2 linked regions of the Ovis aries genome follow. The protein of the gene in region 1 purifies or fractionates together with the protein of each later gene. This does not show direct contact. Links are inferred from orthologs where the notes say so. Each region holds a gene or a part of one and is shown in the gene's direction. Other genes may lie near its edges. The genes, in order: REXO4 and RRS1.

What was found.
Region 2: the proteins of REXO4 (region 1) and RRS1 purify together in Homo sapiens (co-immunoprecipitation; 3 studies listed by BioGRID and IntAct, with this or other methods). This does not show direct contact. The link is inferred for Ovis aries from reciprocal best matches to the Homo sapiens genes REXO4 and RRS1.

Annotation. Positions count from the first base shown.
Region 1 is NC_056056.1:2,638,913-2,643,397, forward strand, and holds the start of REXO4 (RNA exonuclease 4), read left to right. Parts: upstream 1-1,646; 5' UTR 1,647-1,692; coding exon 1,693-1,905; intron 1,906-3,873; coding exon 3,874-4,208; intron 4,209-4,485.
Region 2 is NC_056062.1:43,654,828-43,658,605, forward strand, and holds RRS1 (ribosome biogenesis regulatory protein homolog), read left to right. Parts: upstream 1-1,515; 5' UTR 1,516-1,632; coding exon 1,633-2,730; 3' UTR 2,731-3,160; downstream 3,161-3,778. UniProt on the Homo sapiens protein: Involved in ribosomal large subunit assembly. May regulate the localization of the 5S RNP/5S ribonucleoprotein particle to the nucleolus.

The DNA of each region.
Region 1 (4,485 bases):
CAGCTGAACAATAACAATGACGTCCTCAGGGCCTCCCAGGTGGCTCAGTGACAAAGAATCCACCTGCCAAGCGGGAGATGTGGTTGGATCTCTGGGTCGGAAAGATCTTCTGAAGAAAGAAATGGCAACCCTCTCCAGTATTCTTCCCTTGGGAAAGCCCATGGACAAGAGAAGCCTGGCAGGCTACCGTCTACGGGGTCACAAGAGTTGGGACGCAACCTAGCGACTAAACAAGGAGTATGCCCTCAGTGTTGTAGCTATTATATGGAACATATTATAGTAAAAATTATTCTTTATCTGAAATCCCTGTTTCTCTGGGCGTCCTGCAGGTTCTTTGGCAGCCTTAACCCTCCTCGGTCTCTAACACAGCATTTCATCTTCTCATCTTGGTGGCAGTTGCTAGGATACAAAATTGCTGATTTGGTATCTGAATCTCCCTGAAGGGCCCCCAGCACAGGTACAGAGGCTGGGATGGGAGCTTTGGGGAAATGCAGGCCTGGCCTCCAGGTGTTGTCAGAGCCAGGCAGGAGGTGCGAGTAACATCATTGTTGTCACATAACATACAACACTCTCACTCCTTGGAAGAAACGTTATGACCAACCTAGACAGCATACTCAAAAACAGAGACATTACTTTGCCAACAAAGGTCCGTCTAGTCAAAGCTATGTTTTTTCCAGTAGTCATGTATGGATGTGAGAGCTGGACTATAAAGAAAGCTGAGCACCGAAGAATTGAAGCTTTTGAACTGTGGTGTTGGAGAAGACTCTTGAGAGTCCCTTGGACTGCAAGGAGATCCAACCAGTCCATTCTAAAGGAGATCAGTCTTGAGTGTTCATTGAAAGGACTGATGCTGGAGCTGAAACTCCAATACTTTGGCCACCTGATGCGAAGAGCTGACTCAGCTGAAGAGACCCTGATGCTGGGAAAGATCGAAGGCAGGAGGAGAAGGGGACGACAGAGGATGGGATGGTTGGATGGCGTCACCGACTCAACGGACATGAGTTTGAGTAAACTGCGGGAGTTGGTGATGGACAGGGAGGCTTGGCGCGCTGCAGTCCACGGGGTCGCAAGAGTTGGACATGACTGAGCGACTGAACTGAACTGAACAGACAACACTTGTCCCAGCGCTTTATCCTTGTTATCGGATGCTGCTGGACTGCGGAGAGCCACCTGGGGTCGCCCCTCCCGGCCCTGGACCTCAGTGTCCCCGCCGCGTAGGCAAGACGGGCCGGGGTGGGAACAGCGGCCGGCGGACAGCGGCCCGCAGGACCGGGCGTCGGCTCCGCGCCCGCTGCTCCCCGGTCCGGCCGCCCAGCGCCCCCTGGCGGCCGCCTGCCGCGCTCCCCGCCGGCCCGGCCTCGGTGCTACACCAACAGCGGTCCCCCTCGCTCCCCTTCCGGCGCTCGCCTTTCTCGGCCCCGGGCCTGCCCTCAGAGACATCCCGGGCTTCTTCCAACCCGACCCGGGGCCTCCAACCGCGGACGCCGCTCACCAGGGCGGCGGCCCTTCTCCTCAGCAGTCGAGGAGGCCCGCCCTTCTCCCGGCTGTGTGGAACCAGAGGCGAAGGCTCGGTTTCTAGCCCGGTTGGGGAGAGAGAGAGCACTTCCCGGAAACCGGGGCCCACGTGAGGGGGACGCGTGCCGGGCGGCTTCCGGGGTCCCGGACTGCGGGCAGCCGGGCTCCGGGGCCGGCATGGTGAAAGCGAGGGGGCCGGCCGCCGCGCGCGCCCCGCGTGCCCCCGCGCCTGACGCTGGGCCCGTCAGGAAGCCGAGACGGAAGAAAAGGGCCTGGAGGAGCAAAGCGCGAGAAGCCGGTGGGGCGCCGGGGAACGACCCCGGAGTGGTCGCGGTGCGGCCCCCAAAGGCCCCGGAGGACTTTTCCCCGAACTGGAAGGCGCTGCAGGAGGCAAGTCCGCGGGGGGCCTACGGGCGGAGAGGGGGACGGTGTGTGGGTCCCGGGGGGCGCGCGGGCTGGAGCGGACCCGGGGAGCAGAGCCGATCGCAGAGGCCGGAGCGCGTGGGCTGCGGAACAGCAGAGGCTGCATGCAGAGGACCCTGCTGACAGTTCAGTTCAGTTCAGTCGCTCAGTCGTGTCCGACTCTTCGCGACCCCCTGGACTGCAGCACACCGGGCCTCCCTGTTCATCACCAACTCCTGTCCATCGAGTCGGTGATGGCCATCCAACCATCTCATCCTCTGTCGTCCCCTTCTCCCGCCTTCAGTCTTTGCCAGCATCAGAGTCTTTTCCAGTGAGTCAGCTCTTCGCATGAGGTGGTCAAAGTATTGGAGCTTCAGTCTCAGAGTCAGTCCTGCCAATAAACACCCAGGACTGATCTCCTTTAGGATGGAGTGGTTGGATCTCCTTGCAGTCCAAGGGACTCTTAAAAGTCTTCTCCAACACCACAGTTCAAAAGCATCCATTCTTTGGTGCCAGCTTTCTTTATGGTCCAACTCTCACATCCATACATGACTACTGGAAAAATCATAGCTTTGACCGTATAGACATTTGTCAGAAAGAAACATCTCTGTTGTTTAATATGCTGTCTAGGTTTGTCATAGCTTTCCTTCCAAGGAGTAAGTGTCTTAATTTCGTGGCTTCAGTCACCATCTGCAGTGATTTTGGAGCTCCAAAAAATAAAGTCTGTCACTGTTTCCCCATCTATTTGCCATGAAATTCTGGCAACACTGGGCCTTTAATCGGTGACCACTGCTACTGATCACTGAGTGCTTCACGTGTGCTTTAGACACTGCTGGATGAGCTGAGCTGATGTGTTCATATTTAACCTGAGACCGACTCTGAGATCTTGTATCATCTGCATTTTACAGATGAGGAAGTGGGCCTGACAGGTTAAGTAGATTGCAACCAGGTCAGCAGAGCCAGGAGTCAGACCCCAAGCCCCCTCCCATCAACTCCCTGCTCGTAATGCCACGATACCTCCTTGCCTTTCTGGGCCATCAGTGCACCAAGACTTGCAGATTACCTACCGGCCACTATCTCCTGGGTGCTGTCGTCGGCTGAGCTTCACTCGTAAACCGCCTTCGCCAGAGTCGGCTGCTGCTGTACAGCTGTTTTCTGGATGAGGAGACTGGGAGGGGTTGAGGGACATGGCCCAGGGTCACACAGCGAGCGCCTGGGGTGCAGGTGCACAGGGCTGGGTGGGAGTTCGCGCTCTTTGCTGCTGCCGACCCTCATGGTGTCTCCGCAGCCTCTTCTGAGCTCCTGAGATCTCTCCAGGAGTCTCAGAGTGGGTGAGGGGGAGCGCAGAGAAGGGCTTCTGAGACTGTTAACCTGCGCCTTAAGGGGGGAGTCCAGATCATTCTCCTGTCCTGACACATAGACCATGAAATTCCCTCGGGCAACCCCAGGGGTCTCAGACTTCCTGGGCTGTAACTCGGCCTCTTTCTTACAAGAAAGTAAAGCAAAAAGAAGCGAGCAGAGGGATGGATATTTGTTGTGGGAAGAAACTTCACGTTTTCTCTAATTCATACAAGAAAGGCAGTTCTCCTGTTGTTTAAACATCACAGGAACAGCTAGGTAGGAACTGCCTCCTCACTCAGCTGGTTGCCGCACAGCAGGGTCTTAACCGAGGGCGCTGGGCTGGGAGACCTCAGCCCTCCCTGGGGGAGAGCAGGGGTATGGTGGTCCACCCCGTGTCACTGGACGTGACCATCTCTTCCTGAGACCCTCACAGCAGGAGCAAACCAAGGGATCTGGCTGAGGAAGTGGCCCCCACGCGTGGGCTCGGGAGGAGGAGACTCTGAAACAACAGTGCGGGGGCGGGCGGCTTCTGGACACAGACGCGCTTCTTTCCCACCTCTGGTGTGCGATTCCCAAATCACAGTGCGTTGTGTATTTTGTTTTGGGTTCTATTAGCTGCTGAAACAAAGATCACAGACTCCACAAGAGCCTCCACTTCTCTCTCAAACGGATTCCAAAAAGCAGCCACAGCATGTCCAACAAAGTAGAAACTCGATCTCAGATAAAGCAAAGAGAGATGCGATGGGGATGGAAAACACAGACCCTGAGGTCACAGGGTCCTCTGGGCCCTCGGGATCACTGAATAGCAGGAAGATACAGGCGCAGCCCAAGGAGAAAGGGGCCGAGAAAAGGACCAGTGGTGACATTTCTCGGCAGCAAGGCGACATCAAACATAAGAAGCGGAAAGCTGAGGAGCCGACTGCCCCCTTGCCTCCAGCCCTGCCCACCAAGTAAGTACCACGGGACGTGATGATGGATGCGGCCTTCCCGGCCGCCCTGTGCCTCAGCCTCCTCCCCGGTCACAGCCACCGAGGCCTCTCTCCCTAAGGAGGCCGAGGCTGGTGGCCCCTCTGTCACCTTATCCTGGCGTTGTGGGTTTCTTCGTGGGTAATTCAGGGTGATTCAGCTAATTTAGAATTAACCTGGGGTAAGTCTGTCCCCCTAGAACGTAGGCAGAGCAGAGGCTGACCCTGTCCCATAGCTGCTGTATCTCCAGGGCCCTGAACA
Region 2 (3,778 bases), on another chromosome or scaffold:
TACTGGAGTGGGTTGCCATTCCCCTCTCCAGGGGATCTTGACAACCCAAGGATTGAACTAGGGTCTGGGTTCATACAACAGGCAGCTTCTTTACCATCTGAGCCTCCGGGGAAGCCATGAAAGTCAAAATGTTAGCTGCTCAGTTGAATCCAATTCTTTGAGAACCCATGGACTGTAGCCTGCTGGGCTTCTCTGTTCATAGAATTCTGGAGATCACTGAGCAACTAACCCCTTTCATTTCCATTAATCACTAAGATATTTTGTTAAAATAAAAGTTCTGAGTCATAACATCTGGGCTAAGGCCAGAGACTCTGCATTTCTAATAAGCTCCCAGATGCTGCTGTACTGCTGGTCAACAGACCACACTTTTTTGAGTATCAAGAGTCTGGAAGACATTGCAGAGAATATGTATGTAGTTTTAGAGCCAGAGTTTAGACTTCTCCTGCTCCCATACTTCCTGGCTGTATAACCTTAGACAAGTCATTTTACTTCTCTGAGCCTGCTTCTGTCACCAGCGGAATATAGTGAATAACAGTAGCCAACACTTACTGAATGCTTACAATGTACCAGGAACTAATGATTCATATTCATCAACTTATGAATAGGACTTAAGTTAAACAACCTGACCAATGTGGGTACAAGAAACCCAGATCTTATTCTAGGTAGCTTGATTCAAGAACCTGGTGTTTAATCACTGTATAAGACTGCCTTTTCAGCAGAGTTCCCAGAGCCATGATGAGAATTAAACAATTACTGGTATTTAGCTCACATTTATTGAGCACTCATATGCCCAAGACTCCAGTGTAAGCTCCCTTGGGAGCATATTAACTCATTTATCTTCACGGCAGACCTGGGAGGTAATATTTGCAACCCCATCTTACAGGTTTAAGAATAGGCACAAACAAGTTACACAGCCGAAGGTCAAACACCAGAGCGGTCAAGGTCGGAACCCCGGCGGTCTAACAGCTGAGCCCCGCGCTCTTCTGCCATCAGCCAGGAGAGAAGGTGGCCCTGGGCTCCGGAGACCAGACTTGAAGTCGCCAGGATGGGGGCACAGCCGCGCCCCTTCAGGGCGGTCTAACCGCCAGACCCGCTCGCTCCCAAAGAAAACAAAGTCTCCGTCTCCACTTAGCTTTCTGTACATCCCCAGGTGAAGTGCCCACACCCGGGGGCACACCATGAACAGGTGTCAAGGCTCTGGTGAAAATGACTGGCTAAACAACTTGAGAACTGACTTTTACACACACTAAAACTAACAGTCGCTCCCGGGCCCGCTTAGTCCGCGGCCCCCTAACTTGCCCAGCTCGCACAGGACCACCCCCTCCCGCAGGGGCATCCTGGGAGCCAAGGTCCCAATCAGGCCTCGGAATTCGTAGATTCGGCTCCGCCTACCTCCGGGCTCCACCCCAAAGGCTGCCTCTAATCTCATCTGCTCTCTAACACCGCCCTCTGCCGGCCGTTCCTCGGGTAGCCCGCTCCTTGAGCCCCTTCCGGGTGCCCCGGAAGCGGAACTTTCTCTTCCGGGTCGAGCGTCCGGGAAGTCGCACGTGTCTGGGGTGCCGCGGCTTTAACCCTTGTAGGAGGAGTCGTGACTAGAACTGTCTCCCAGAGGTAGCGAGCCGAACCGGAGCCATGGAGGGCCAGAGCGTGGAGGAGCTGCTGGCAAAGGCGGAGCGGGACGAGGCAGAGAAGCTACAGCGCATCACGGTGCAGAAGGAATTGGAGCTGGAGTTCGACCTGGGTAATTTGCTGGCCTCTGACCGGAACCCCCCGACCGGGCTGCGGCACGCGGGACCCACACAGGAGGCCGAGCTGAGGGCCCTGGCGCGGGACAACACGCAGCTGCTCATCAACCAGCTGTGGCAGCTGCCTACCGAGCGCGTGGAGGAGGCGCTGGTGGCACGGCTGCCGGAACCCAGCACTCGTCTGCCGCGCGAGAAGCCGGTGCCCAGGCCGCGGCCTCTTACTCGCTGGCAGCAGTTTGCGCGCCTCAAGGGCATCCGTCCCAAGAAGAAAACCAATCTGGTGTGGGACGAGGTGAGCGGCCAGTGGCGCCGCCGCTGGGGCTACCAGCGAGCCCGCGACGACACCAAGGAGTGGCTGATCGAGGTGCCGGGCAATGCCGACCCCATGGAGGACCAGTTCGCCAAGCGGATTCAGGCTAAGAAGGAACGGGTGGCCAAGAACGAACTGAACCGGCTGCGTAACCTGGCCCGCGCGCACAAGATGCAGCTGCCCAGCGCGGCCGGCATGCACCCTACTGGACACCAGAGTAAGGAGGAGCTGGGCCGCGCCATGCAGGTGGCCAAGGTCTCCACTGCCTCTGTGGGGCGCTTCCAGGAGCGCCTGCCCAAGGAGAAGGCGCCCAGGGGCTCTGGCAAGAAGAGGAAGTTTCAGCCTCTTTTCGGGGACTTTGCGGCCGAGAGAAAGAGCCAGTTGGAGATGCTGCGAGTGATGAACAGCAAAAAGCCTCAGTTGGACATTACGAGGGCCACCAATAAGCAGATGAGAGAGGAGGACCAGGAGGAGGCGGCCAAGCGGAGGAAAATGAGTCAGAAGGGCAAGAGAAAGGGGGCCCGACAGGGTCCCGGGGGTAAGAGGAAGGGGGGCCCGCCCAGCCAAGGAGGGAAGAGGAAAGGGGGTTTGGGAGGCAAGATGAATTCCGGACCTCCCGGCCTGAGTGGCAAGAGAAAAGGGGGGCAACACCAAGGAGGAAAGAGGAGGAAGTAAATTTCATCCTTGGACCTTCTCCTAAACCAAGAACTGTACTTAATGCTAAGTTCTAGATACAGTACCCAGATGCACAAGATTTGGCCACTGCCTTCACTGAGCTTGAGGTTAAAGGGCCAGGTTTACCCTCCTCTGAAGATGATATGTAAATGTTGGACTGGACAAATTAATGTATTTCCCACAACCAAAACTCTGGCTGGAGATTAAAGGTTGTATTTAAGAACATCTGAATTAGGGAAAGAATCTGTGAAAACTAGGAATGAGTTTTACTTTTAAACAGCCTTTTTTTTCCCTCTCTTTAAACTTTGGATGGGGTTTAAGGGAGAGACTTAACAGCTGGTTTCTGCATTATTTTGATGACAAGTTTGTGTATTTATCAAAGCATGTGGGAACAGAAAGGTTACATTTTAAGTAAAACCAATGACCTGGATACCTGGTACAGATTATTTTCATTTACTTTCTAGAAAACATAGCAGTTACATTATGATTTCAGCAAGACCACTTTTATTAGAAAAACTCATCCTGCTTTCGGTGTCAGATATAATACTGAAAGTGTGTCTCTTTCAAAAACAAAATTTGATGCTTTTCAACACTGAAAACATTAATTTGCTGTAAATGATAAATTTGGACTTCACTAAATAATGGTAATAATCCTCAATCTCAGTTTTTTTTTTTTTTTTTTTAATGTTTATTTATTTGGCTGTGCTGGGTCTTAGTTGCAGTATGTGGGATCTAGTTCCCAGACTAGGGATTGAACCCAGGTCCCCTGTATCGGGAGTGTGGAATCCTGGCCACTGGACCACTAGGGAAGTCCTAATCCTAATTTTATACTTAAATCTTTATCAGTATTTATATCCCAGGTGTTTTTTTTTTAAGCTTCAAGTGGGATCTGTTTGGGGAAGAGAGAAAGAAACCTACAAAATCCTTACTTGCAATATTACTACTATCTTTTGATTCATTTGTCAAATTGACCTGCTGCTGCTGCTAAGTCACTTCAGTCCTGTCCGACACTGTGCGACCCCATAGACGGCAGCCCACTAGGCTTCCC